Linked DNA regions of Cricetulus griseus. The protein of the gene in region 1 interacts with the protein of each later gene in a pairwise test. Links are inferred from orthologs where the notes say so. Each region holds a gene or a part of one and is shown in the gene's direction. Other genes may lie near its edges. The genes, in order: Kifap3, Naa10 and Ncf2.

What was found.
Region 2: the proteins of Kifap3 (region 1) and Naa10 interact in binary tests that used the Homo sapiens proteins (3 or more experiments, as listed by UniProt). The two-hybrid records come from large-scale screens. The link is inferred for Cricetulus griseus from reciprocal best matches to the Homo sapiens genes KIFAP3 and NAA10.
Region 3: the proteins of Kifap3 (region 1) and Ncf2 interact in binary tests that used the Homo sapiens proteins (3 or more experiments, as listed by UniProt). The two-hybrid records come from large-scale screens. The link is inferred for Cricetulus griseus from reciprocal best matches to the Homo sapiens genes KIFAP3 and NCF2.

The regions. Positions count from the first base shown.
Region 1 is NC_048598.1:28,529,399-28,533,469, reverse strand, and holds the start of Kifap3 (kinesin-associated protein 3), read left to right. Parts: upstream 1-1,174; 5' UTR 1,175-1,398; coding exon of another isoform or gene 1,399-1,430; intron 1,431-1,790; 5' UTR 1,791-2,111; coding exon 2,112-2,143; intron 2,144-4,071. UniProt on the Homo sapiens protein: Involved in tethering the chromosomes to the spindle pole and in chromosome movement. Binds to the tail domain of the KIF3A/KIF3B heterodimer to form a heterotrimeric KIF3 complex and may regulate the membrane binding of this complex.
Region 2 is NC_048604.1:1,827,799-1,832,171, forward strand, and holds the start of Naa10 (N-alpha-acetyltransferase 10), read left to right. Parts: upstream 1-1,461; coding exon 1,462-1,482; intron 1,483-1,893; coding exon 1,894-1,992; intron 1,993-2,379; coding exon 2,380-2,438; intron 2,439-3,316; coding exon 3,317-3,362; intron 3,363-3,443; coding exon 3,444-3,559; intron 3,560-3,772; coding exon 3,773-3,817; intron 3,818-4,373. UniProt on the Homo sapiens protein: Catalytic subunit of N-terminal acetyltransferase complexes which display alpha (N-terminal) acetyltransferase activity. Acetylates amino termini that are devoid of initiator methionine.
Region 3 is NC_048598.1:38,810,969-38,814,613, reverse strand, and holds part of Ncf2 (neutrophil cytosol factor 2), read left to right. Parts: intron 1-693; coding exon 694-835; intron 836-1,047; coding exon 1,048-1,116; intron 1,117-2,012; coding exon 2,013-2,088; intron 2,089-3,636; coding exon 3,637-3,645. UniProt on the Homo sapiens protein: Subunit of the phagocyte NADPH oxidase complex that mediates the transfer of electrons from cytosolic NADPH to O2 to produce the superoxide anion (O2(-)).

The DNA.
Region 1 (4,071 bases):
TTGAGAACCACTGCTTTAAAATACTGTGCCCTGCTTTTGTTACGGTTAAAGATGCTGTGAATGACAATTTGTACATGTTTGCACTGAAGAGTCAATATTTGAGAAAACACAGAAAATAGGAAGTCGAGTTAGGAGGGACTCCATAGGTGAAATGCTTAGACTAACGGACTGAGTGTGAGTGTGAATGGAGAAGAAAAAGTGAATAGCAGGACTGTCTTGTGAATTTTGTGACACTTCAATAAGGAAACTTGATAAACAGAAAGGACTTAAAGTTTGCTCCAAATTTCTTCCTTGATATTGAAAGAATAATTATAGCTTTAACAGAAATAGTATAGCTGGTGTGAATGGGTGGGGCCATAAATCATTAATGTCTCTCTACAGTGTTCATGCCATATAGTGTATGCCAGCATGACATTTCACGACTACAGGTCAATCAATATTATATAACTCATTTGAAGAAGGGGTGGCTGCTAATGTGGGACTAGAAGATAGTAATTGAGGGGACAGATTAAAGGGGAGGCTATTCTAAAGCAGAGCAGGTGGCTTGTCACCCTCAAAAATCAGCTCTTTTCCCTGAAAGTTGTCAGCAATGACCTGCCTTAGAGGAAACAATTACTCATGAATTTTGAGTTACGGTTAATTAACGGACAGTTTCGAAGTTCAGAAGTTGGCTTGTTTTGATGGATGGTACTATCTTCTACATGTATGATTTAAAATGTGACTTTCAAAGTTGTGTCTAATTCTATCCATTCCATAAATACAGACTATTTTTGCCAGCCAGAACTCAGTGCAACCAATGCAGAACCTTTCACATGTTCCAAAACGGAAGCCCCGCCATAGACGTTGCTAGTTAAAGGCTAACTTGATGTCTATCATTAGTTAGCAAAAAAAAAAAAAAAAAAAAAAAAAGTTAGCTGGTTACTTTCGCCTTATTTCACACTAAAGACTTTAAATTCCAATTTTGCAGATTGCAATGCCTTTTCCTTTCCCCTCCTCCAGGGGGCAGTGACGAGGACTATCACTCTTAACCACAGGCTCCCAGATAAGCACCAAACACTTCCCGCCCGGTTCCTGAAAGCGTCAGATTAGTCGCAGGAGCCAGGGTCTCGAACTGAGCCTGCGCGTACTGCAGCTGCCGCGTGAGCGCATGCGCCTTGCGGAGAGCCTGGCCCTGGCGGCTCTGGGCGGGTCTGGGCTGCGCCAGGGTTTTGGGGCCCAGGAGCTGTGGGAGGAGCCGGCGGCCTCACCGTGGTAACCGCAGCGCCGCCGCCGCCCCGCCTCGCAGGCTTCGGGACTGTCACCGCCGGGGCTGCGAGGGTACTTTGTCCCGGTCCCCGGAAGTAGCCGGCCCAGACTCTCAGACACCCCCATCCTCCCCACGCCGCCACCGCCGCCGCCATGCAAGGCGAGGACGCCAGATACCTCAAAAGGTGACCACCCGGGCCCCGCCCTGAGCAGGTCCTTAGGTGTTTCCCCGCCGAAGGGGCTGTCACTGGGCAAAGCCTGAGGAGAGAAGGGCTGGGATGCAGGGCAGGAAAGAAAGAGGGGGGAAGTGATGGGGTGGAATAAAGGACGGGCCCTGTGGGGGCGCGAGGTCCTTAATCCACCTTAGTTTGGCGGGGCCCTGACAGCATCAGATGGCTTCCTCGCTACATTAATTGTATCCGCAGTGAGAGGCAGGTTGGGCGAGGTAAAACCCATATTTCGTTTTTGGTTTTGCGGGTTTGTTTGTTTGTTTGTTTGTTTGTTTGTTTGTTTCTCCTGCCCCACTCTTCTGTTTTCCTCAATAGATAAATCCCATGGGAGCTTGGAAGTGAATTCTGTCACATCACCAATTTGTGTTCGGTTTGAGAGCCATAAATCATGCGTGTTTTGAAATACAGACTTCATGCAAGACTGGATTGAGATGTCCAGCCAGCTGTCCTTGGTCCATTTCACCCATTTGACTGTCACCTTCACAATATAATTTATGTAGAAAGTGCATTACTAGCAAGACCTTGGCATGAAAGAGCTTACCATTTTCTATCTTAAGTATGTGTGATATCAGCTACTCCAAAGAAAAATGGAAATTTGTTGAGATTCCTTAACTTCTGCCAAAGATATGGGCATCCATGGTTAAAATACACCTCTCGATGGACCAAGGGTGAGCAAGCAGTGAACAAATTAAAAAAAAATGCTAATTTGGAATCTCTTATTTTTAGTCAAAGCTTTGTTGCTGATTCATTACAAAAAGCACAGTTTTTTTGGGGGGGGAAACATAATTCATCTGAAAATGAGAGACGTTACTTTCTGGGAGACATAAGGACAGAATATGAAAATACTTTTGAAAGAGAAAACATGCATATTATTAGGTGGTGGCATTAGTTTAGGTCCTAAAATGCTTTTGATGAGTTTATTTTTCCCCATGCTTGGTGGGATTCTAGATGTCACAGAAACATCTTACAAGTGTTAGTGAACTCTTAAACATAGTCAAACAATTACAAATCACCTATAGTGCCTCTGAAAGACGGGAACATAGTCCTTCGTCTTTTTCAATTAATGTGTTCATGGAAAATGGCAAATGAAAAGACCTTTAGTAGAGATTTGTGAAAGGAATATGTAATCGTAACTCAGTGAGTCAGTACTCCTTTGCCCACGTAATTTTGCTAACAGCATGCACAATGCACATTTACCCACAAACCTCCACACATAAACACACTCAAAAATTTTGTCAAATCCATTAAATTTTCTAATTTCAACTGTAAACCTGAGGTTATTTTAAAGAAAGTACCATTTGCTGATTGTCCTATGATACGGTTGTGTCAAGCGTGGTTTTTCTCAAGGTTGTTGCACTAATGTGGACCCCCTTTTAAAACCACATCATTTAGAAAACAATAAATGCAACTGATTTAGTCACCGTAATGTTTCAGTTAGAGTCAGAATCTGGAAAAAAGGTTGAAAGTACATTGTTTAATCTAATTTTGACAAAATAAACTTTGCATTACCTCCAGATTATGTATATGCACACACACATGTATATGAGAGAGATGATTATTATATATACAGTATACAGACCTAATGGAAAAGGCAGGGACTTGATGGATATAAGTATGATGTTTGTTCAGATTTTTCACATTGTTTGATTATGTTCCACTTATACTGTGCATTAACACTTTATTCCTTTTTGGAACTGAATAATGTTTCATTGCATGGGTATATTGTAATCTGATTATTCATGACCCAAGTGTAGGTAGATATTTAGGTGGTTTTTGCCTGTTGCCTATTGGGAATAAAGTTGCTATCATAACAAGATTCTGTTTGGACACTTCTCTTCTTTATTTGGTATATAATAAGCTTGGGATTTCAGGAACATGGAGTAATTCTATGTTGGACTCATTGAAGTCTCATCAAATAGCTTTCCCTTGGTGTCTGTACCTCTATGAACATTGCAGTTTTTCCACACTTCACTAATGCCTGTTATCTTCTCTTTTTGTATTATTTTGTATGTGTGTTCTGTAACTGTAGCTATTCTAGGGGGTGTAAAGTGGTGTCTTACTTTGATTTTGATTTGCATTTCCCTAATTACTAAGTAGGTTGAGCTCCTTTCATCTGCTCCTTGGTCATTTGTCTTTCTCTTTTAGGAAAAAGTTGTTTCTGAAATATACTCTTAATACCAGGCCTTATTAAATATGCAGTTTACAAACATTTGTCTTTTTACTGTTGCCTTTTTACTGTGTTGAATATGTCAGTAGTGTCAACAATTTTAATTTGTTGAAGTCTAATCTATTAATAGTTACCGTTACCTTTGAAATTCAAGGCCAGGAAGTTTTCCCTTATGTTTTATAGTTTTAGCTCTTAAATATTTATTTTTATTCACTTGAATTACTTATTGTATATGGTGCTTAAGAATATCTAATCTTAGCATCATTTGTCAAAGAGATCTTCTTTCTCTCCATTGATATTTGGAGCATCCTTATTAAAATTAGACTGTAAAAGTGGGTGTTTATTTCTTCACTGTCAGTCCTCACCAAAAGATCTATTAATATGTGTATCTCCTTGTGCTAGTAACTTATTCTTTAAATTGGGGGAGTT
Region 2 (4,373 bases), on another chromosome or scaffold:
GGATAAGGACCTGGGCTTCATTTGGGGGAACTAAAAAAAAAAAAAAAGCCTCAGTGAGACAGGTATGGGATGGGTTAGCCTATCTAACCAGCTCAGCTGCTGTTCCCCCTTATTTGAAGCATCAGATCCACTGGACAGGGTCAGAAGTGAGAGAGATACATTCAGAACCCATGGTGAAAATAGGCAGAAGACGATGTTGTCCTGAAACTTACAGAAATGTGTCAGCCTCTACGTCCTGAGGGCTGGGACTAAAAGCTTTCCCCATCACACAGGGTTAGAGGAAAGTCTGACACCCTGTTATAAAAACCACAACATGCAAGGGCATGAGTTACGTGTCTCTGTTTGATAAGGCCTGTGGAGTAGAGGACATGTTACAAAGTTTGTTGGCAAGTCAATCCAGGATTCTTTGTTCTTTTTGCCTTTTAATATAGATTAGGTAAACGTGTGTTTTTAAGTATTCAATTCAAAGTGTTAGATAACACACTACAATCAAACATAGAGCACCTGTTCTCTCAGCGTTTCAGCACATTGCCTGCAGCATCTTCCCATTGGGTTACAAGCTGAGAAAACCAACTGCCTATCATCCTCAGCTTTCATCTTTTCCCAGGACATGGTCTCTTAAAAGTAATGAAAACCACTATCAAAATAAAGTTTTACTGACTTGAGCTAAAAAAAAAAAAGTAATGAAATCATGGCATTTGAACTCTGACCAGTGGTGGTAGTACAAAGGGGACAGCGAGGGCCCCTTCCTCAGCCCGTGACACTCTGGTGTGTCCTGCCAGACACTAGCTGTCATTGTCTCCTTATTCTAGTTTCGTGATCCTGAGTTCGGGGAATGGTTCGGCTATCTGAACCGAGAGGGAAAGGTGACCCTCACCATCAAGAGAGGTCCTTTTAAAGGTGAGCAAGGAACGGGACGAGACTGCAAAGGTTTGTGGCACCTGGCTCCCTAGGACCTCCTAACCCCAGCATCCATTCCCCTCACAAGCTGCTTCCACGTGCCGCAGTGCCTGGCCATGTGCGAGTAGATTCTGGAAGCCCTGCTCTGCCGCCTCCGGCCTGCTCCCGTCATGTCGTCGCTCACTGTCCCCACCCACAGAGGCTCAAAATAAATCTAACCCTGCTCCATCTGCTTGTGTGCGCACCTCTGTGGGCCGGGCGGGAGGGTACAGCTACTCCCCACGATGCCCGCGTTACCCAGCCTTCATAACGGCCTTGAAGGCGCCATTTTTGCACTGATCCACCGCTCCCATTAACTCTCGGTGCGCTCACTGGCTGTGCGGTTCGGAAGCGGATCCCGTACCACACACTTCCGCTGCAGGTGGGGCGGGCCGGCCCGCCTCTTCCGTTACCTTCCTCTGGGAGCCTGGCCCCAGCCCCTATAGTCCGTGCGGTTCTTCTGAGTGGCCGCTGAGCGTGCACGTTCATAACCCACGAGGACCTGCGAGCTCCGCCGCCGTGATGAATATCCGCAATGCTAGGGTGAGGTGATGGGGAGCTAGCCTGTCCACAACCCATGGGCGCCTTGCCGGGTGACCGCGTGCACATGCTAACGAGGGACCTGGTGCTGTGGTCCTCCACGTCTGCGGCCGCTGGACCTTAAGGCTGTTGCAACCTGCCCTGGACATTTCGCGATTATACTATCCCGCGTTTGCCTAATGTCAGGGCTCCATCGAGTGGGCTCGCGACCTCCAGGCGGTACTGCTCGGTCCTTGAGTTGGCGCGTTTTGCATGGCTCATGGAAACCAGGCTTGTGCAAAGTCATATAGTCACAACCCTGACCTGCCCGGGGAAGGGGAGGCCCAGAGATTAACAGAGAACAGGGGCCCCGCATTCGTGAGGCCCTTCTTAGTCACTGCAGTCCTGGACTAACCGTGTCCCGCTGTCATGCAGCCCGAGGACCTGATGAACATGCAGCACTGCAACCTCCTCTGCCTGCCCGAGAACTACCAGATGAAGTACTATTTCTATCATGGCCTCTCTTGGCCCCAGGTGGGCAGGTTTTGCGTTTTGTAAGGGTGTAAGGGACAACAGAAGGGAATCATGGATCTGAGTGGGCCAAAAGCACTGGGCAGTGAGATATACAGTGCCTTGGTACAGCGAAGCCATGGCTGATGGGGAAGCCTGGCAAAGGAAACAGTGCAAGGGATTGTAAGCTAGACACAGGTGGGAAATGGGATTCCCACCTGTGTCTGTGCTTTTCCAAGAGAGGGCACAACTGTGGAGTAGGGAATCTGGGACCCTTGCATTCCAGGCCACCAGCTGTCACAACTGGACAATTTTTGCTGCTTCCCACTATCCTACACACAGCAGGAGGCTGGCAGTGAGCTCTAGCCTGTTGCCTGCTCTGCCTGACATCCTTTTCCTCTCTGTTACCAGCTCTCTTACATTGCTGAGGATGAGAATGGGAAGATTGTGGGGTACGTCTTGGCCAAAATGTGAGTCACCAAGGAGGAAGAAAAGAGCCTAATTCTAAGACTGGGGGTTGAGGAGCTGAGGGAAAAGCTTTGGACAAGGGAATGGGAAGCCAACACCATCCACATCTGGTGAACATGCTGTGGATTAGTTTTAGAGGGGTTCTCACTCTTTTGCCAGATTGGGCTCAAACTTGCATCAGTCTTCATGCTGAGCCTCCTGAATGCTGGGATTAACTATGCCCAGCTTGCTGTGAATTGTTTTTTAATTAACAGCTTGTTGGTAGGGTGTTTCTAAATTGACAGAAAGATTGAGCAGAAAGTACTGAGTATTTCCACACACCCCCTCCTCCACATTTGTTCTCTCACTACCATGTATGGTACACTTATTAGAAGTGAGAAACCAACACAGATTTTGTTTAGATTGATGTTTTCATTGTTGGGCTTCTGTGTGTCACACACCCTCTGAGTTGGGCAAATGAAGAGTGTCTATCCACCTTTAGAGTATTCCATCCTTCCCACAACCTCCAACAACAAGGTTGGTCACCTTTTAAGAAGGCTGCAGAGTTGAACTAGGAACTTATAGCTCTTTCAAGCTGCCTCCTTTCATTCAATGCTTTGCATTCAGCAATACACTGCTACACTTTTTGTGTCTTGGCAGCTGACTTTTGTTGTTGTCAATCACAGGCTAATATTCTGTTGACACTGCACATATCTACTGGGTGTAGCATGGGGGCTTTGAGGAGGGCATGATTGGTTATTCTGATTCAGAAGTTCCTAGTTCTCCTCTGCCTGGATCTGGGGTGCTGTAGGGTCCATCACGATGTCTGTGCACTTGATGTGTACAGGTGTCCGGTACATACTGGACCTGTACCAGGCTCCTTTCTAGCTTTCTCCTCTAGGGAAGAGGACCCAGATGACGTGCCCCATGGACATATCACCTCACTGGTGAGTAGAGCTACTGAGGGTTTGGCAGAGGTGGACTGGAGGTAGCCTCCAAGGTCCCACTAGTACCCATCCTTCTCTCAGGCTGTGAAGCGTTCCCACCGGCGCCTTGGGCTGGCTCAGAAGCTGATGGATCAGGCCTCTCGAGCCATGATAGAGAATTTCAATGCCAAATATGTCTCCCTACATGTCAGAAAGAGGTGAAAGACAAGCTTGGGGAAAGGACAATGCTGGGGAGTGGGGAGGAAGAGGTACCCCATTGATAGGGGTTCTGGGGTTTACTGCCTTCAGAAGAAGATGGTAAGTAGCATTAGTGGGAAAGGAAGACTGGGAAGAAAGGCAGGGCCTGGATATAGCCTGCCAACATGCCTGGTCAAGTTTCTGAAGCTCAGTAGTGCCTTATTCCCCTGCAGTAACCGGGCTGCCCTGCATCTCTATTCCAACACCCTCAACTTTCAGTAAGTAGATCAAGATTTTTTGTTGTTGTTGTTGTTTTGTTTTTAGAGACAGGGTTTCTTTGTGTAACTGTCCTGGCTATCCTGTAATTCACTCTGTAGACCTGGCTGGCCTTGAACTCACAAAGATCTGCCTACCTCCCAAGTGCTGGGATTAAAGGCATGTGCCACTACCTCCTGGCAGATCCAGATTTTTTAAGTGGCGTGATCCATCCTTTTAGCTAAGGTGAGCTAAGAAAGGGGTGGAGGAACTTCAGTCATTGCTAGGGGTCCTTCTGTATACTCAGTGGCTGTTCACTGACAAGCTAACATGGAGAAGGCACCTGGTTTCTGTGTGTGTGGTAGAGGAGGTGTCCTGCACATCTTGCTGGATAGAGGAAGTATGGTTTGTTACTAAGTGCTAGTGAGGCTGGTGAAAGGAATTATAGTAAAGAACACACAAGGCAGCTGGGCGTTGGTGGCGCACGCCTTTAATCCCAGCACTCGGGAGGCAGAGGCAGGAGGATCTCTGTGAGTTCAAAGCCAGCTTGGTCTACAGAGTGAGTGCCAGGACACGCTC
Region 3 (3,645 bases), about 10 Mb from region 1:
GTGCTGCCAACACCAGCAATTTGTTTATGACAAAGCTGTAAGGCTGTCTTTTATGTTAAAACATGAAAGTTGACTTAATAGGAAAAAGGGTAGGGTATGGAGGCTCACATTTCTAATCCCTGCCTTTGAGAGGCAGAGGCAGGATTGCTGAAAGCTCGGGCCAGCCTGAGTTACAGAGTGATATCCCATCTCAAAAAACAAAGACAATATAGAGAGGATGAGTGATGGGGGTGGGGTGTTCTACACAACGTGTTCTGTTGACTAAGTGTTACGGGAAAGGAATTTGTGCTAATTCTGCCGGCAACCAGGGATTATAAAAGTTACAGCCACGTGGGTGGTGTGCTCAGTTCATAAGTGAAAGCTGTGCCATGTGTATACCTAGGTGTAGAAGCGTGGGGCATACAAGGGTTGGGTACCATATATGGGTTCACCCATCTCTTGGATTCTTGTGTAGTGTTTCCTGAGGACAAGGGGAACTCCTGTGTGCTTATGGAACGACTCACCTGCGGTTTCTCACCTCATCCTTTCAGGATCCCATGCAGGCCAGCACCCTGCTCTTGTCTCATAGACAGTAAGATGTGGAGTTAGAGTGAGTGCCAAGCTAAGTCTCTGGCCTCCGTTGCTTCTCCTGCAGTAAGGGGATGTGTGTGGTCCAAGCTGAATGATGGGCTGGGTCTTCTGTGTACCCTTCAGGGCTTTGGAAGGCGAGGCACATCGAGTGCTGTTTGGCTTTGTGCCTGAGACACCAGAAGAGCTACAGGTCATGCCAGGGAACATCGTTTTTGTCTTGAAGAAGGGCAGTGATAACTGGGCCACAGTCATGTTCAATGGACAGGTATTTGGAAGGTCATGGGGAGGTGCTAAGGGCATAGGGTCCCAGCAGCAAAGGGCAGAGCTCTTCCATGGGACGGTGGTATCTGCTGCATTATTTGCAGACCTGGGCCATCATCTGAGTGCTGTCCCTACGCATGGCTGTAGACTGTTCTGTGTTTTGGGTACTAATGAGTCTTTGTTTTCCTTTCTGTGTCCTGGGATGCCACACTGCAGAAGGGGCTTGTCCCTTGCAACTACCTGGAGCCAGTTGAGCTTCGGATCCATCCTCAGTCGCAGCCCCAGGTAATGTAGGCCTAGCCCCGCCCCCCCCCACCCCTCACATAGCCCTCCAGGGAGAAGAATATGTGAAAAGGGGCAGTCTTCCTGTCATGGAAGAAAGACTCAACTAGCTCTGGGCCACTTGAGCTGATATCAGATGCCTAGGCCTGACAAGAAAAGATCAGCTATGCCAAGTGGAGGCAACTGTTAGGAATCCACTGGACTCGCCCCACCCTGTGAGTCCTTCTGGTCAGGAAGACTTGGAAAGCGAAGCCTGACCATTAGAGCTAGATGTTCCCAGGCAAGTCTTTTCACCAGGGAGAGTCATCAATGTGTCTGTTACTACAATGCCATTTAAAACAAAGTAAGGGCTGGGGATGTAGTTCAGTTGGCAGAGTGCGTGCGTAGCGTGCATGAAGCCCTGGCTCAATCCCCAGCACTGAATAATTCAGGCACGATGGCATGTGCTCCTAACACTTGGAAAGAGGAGGCAGGAGGATCAGAAGCTTGTCATCCTTAGCTACATGGCCCTCTGAGGACAGCACGTGGTCTGTCTCTTTATAGTGTGTAATGAGATGCACATGTGTGGAACCCTCCCTGGTCAGTCATGAAACTGAGGCACTTCAAAGTTTCAAATGCCCTGCAGATGGGAAGTGAAATTTTCCCTTTCTCTGTACACTCTGCAGTGGGCACAGAAGCACAGCATGCCACCCCACTTTGGTGGGTTTTCAAAATGGCTGATGAGATGGCGTGAAGGGCCTTGTGGGCATTAAGATTCTTACTGCTGCCACGAATTAGCCCCCTTTCCTTAGTCATCTCTCTGTGTCATATCACCCTAACTTTTTTAGTCATTTGCATCCAGTTTCTTTCCAGGGAAGCCCTCATGCTTTTGTCTGACTGTCTCCTCTTGTCACCTCCAGGAGGACACCTCCCTGGAATCTGATATTCCACCTCCTCCTAGTACCAGTGCCCCAGCAAGATCCCAGTTGTCACCAGGTTGGTGGCCCAGGAGCAGAAGCTCTCTGGGATGCTTCATGATGAAGAGCTGCTTTCCTAGCCATCTAGGAAATTCTGGTTTCTTTACCCAGCATGCCTCTTGGCTGATGACTACATTTCCTCAGAGCCCTGTCTTGCCTGCACCATCATGCCACTGGATGGTGATGGCAATGCCCCTCCCCCACCTGCTTAGAAATGAGTGCAGATGAAGGGACAGTTAAGTGCCTGTCATGAGAGCAGTCACCAAATGACCTAAACTAGGTCCAAGAAGAAAGGCAGCAGTAACTGCATTTTCTCACCCCAGCCTTCTTCAAACCACTGAGGTGTATGTGCTCTCCAGACTATAGGGCTTGAAGAAGGGACCACTCACTGGAAGGTGTGGATGGGAGATCTTTCCAGAAGGATCTCTCTTAAGCTGGGTAGCACTGTCTTGGAAAGCAATGACTTTTTGTTACTGGTGAGTTTAAGCAGATTCTGATGGAGATGACAGAGGTCTCTTTCCATGACTACCTGATTATTGGAGCTGCTTTTATGCCCCTCCCCTGCATATTTATTTGAAAAATTGCAGACCTTCAGAAAAGTTGGAAGTAGGATACAAAAAATACTACAACACTTTTCACTTAAATACACCAGTTATGGGCCAGCAAGGTGGCTCTGTAGTTAAAGGCACTTGCTACATAAACCTGGTGATGACTGCAGTTACCAGAACCTACTTAAAGCAGGAAGTGGAGAATCAACTCCCCAAAGAAATTGTCCTCTGGCTTCTACACACGCCAGGGCACTTGCCCTCCCATCATGCACACATGCTAAAAGAAAAATTTTAAATGTAAACAACATATCAGTACCTCTTTGCCCCTGTGAGCCACTTAAATATAAGTTACAGACCTATGATACAATCTACCTGGGTATAACTCCCCTACGAACAGGCACAGCTTCTGCCTAAGGAATGCATTCTCATCTAGGACACCGCCCGCCTATTCCACGTGTAAATACTTCAGTGGCCCTGTATAGTGTTCATCAAAGCATTTTTGTTCTTACCTTCCCTATCTGGAGGTTCACAAAAGGATACAATGCTGAAGAGATTGAACTACCGGATTCCTAGACCTTTGGTTGATGTTAGCAAAATGTCCCAAGTGATTCTAATCTACTGGGAATGAATTTGTGATTAATGGTTCTTACATCTTGGGTGGTAAATAGTTCCTATTACCCACACACTGCTGAGTTAACATATTATGCATTTTAAAACCACAAACATACTCAACACTACAGGACCATGAAATGGTAAGGTTCTGCTGTTTATGTCTGGGGCTCCGGCTCATGTCACATGACCTCGCTCTGCCTTGGGGCCTACTCGTTTAACCGGCCTTTAGGCCAGTCCTCTGATAGTTAGCAATGCTTCCGAGAAGCAGAGACTGGCTTCGCTCCCATGCTTGTGGTCTCTGAGATTCTTCAGAGTGAGATTTTTAGATGTTAAAGGGTAGGACGCTGGGCATTGTGGGCGGCAGGTGCCACCATGAGTATTCATTTGTTATTTCCTTTCCCATTTAGGTCACAAGC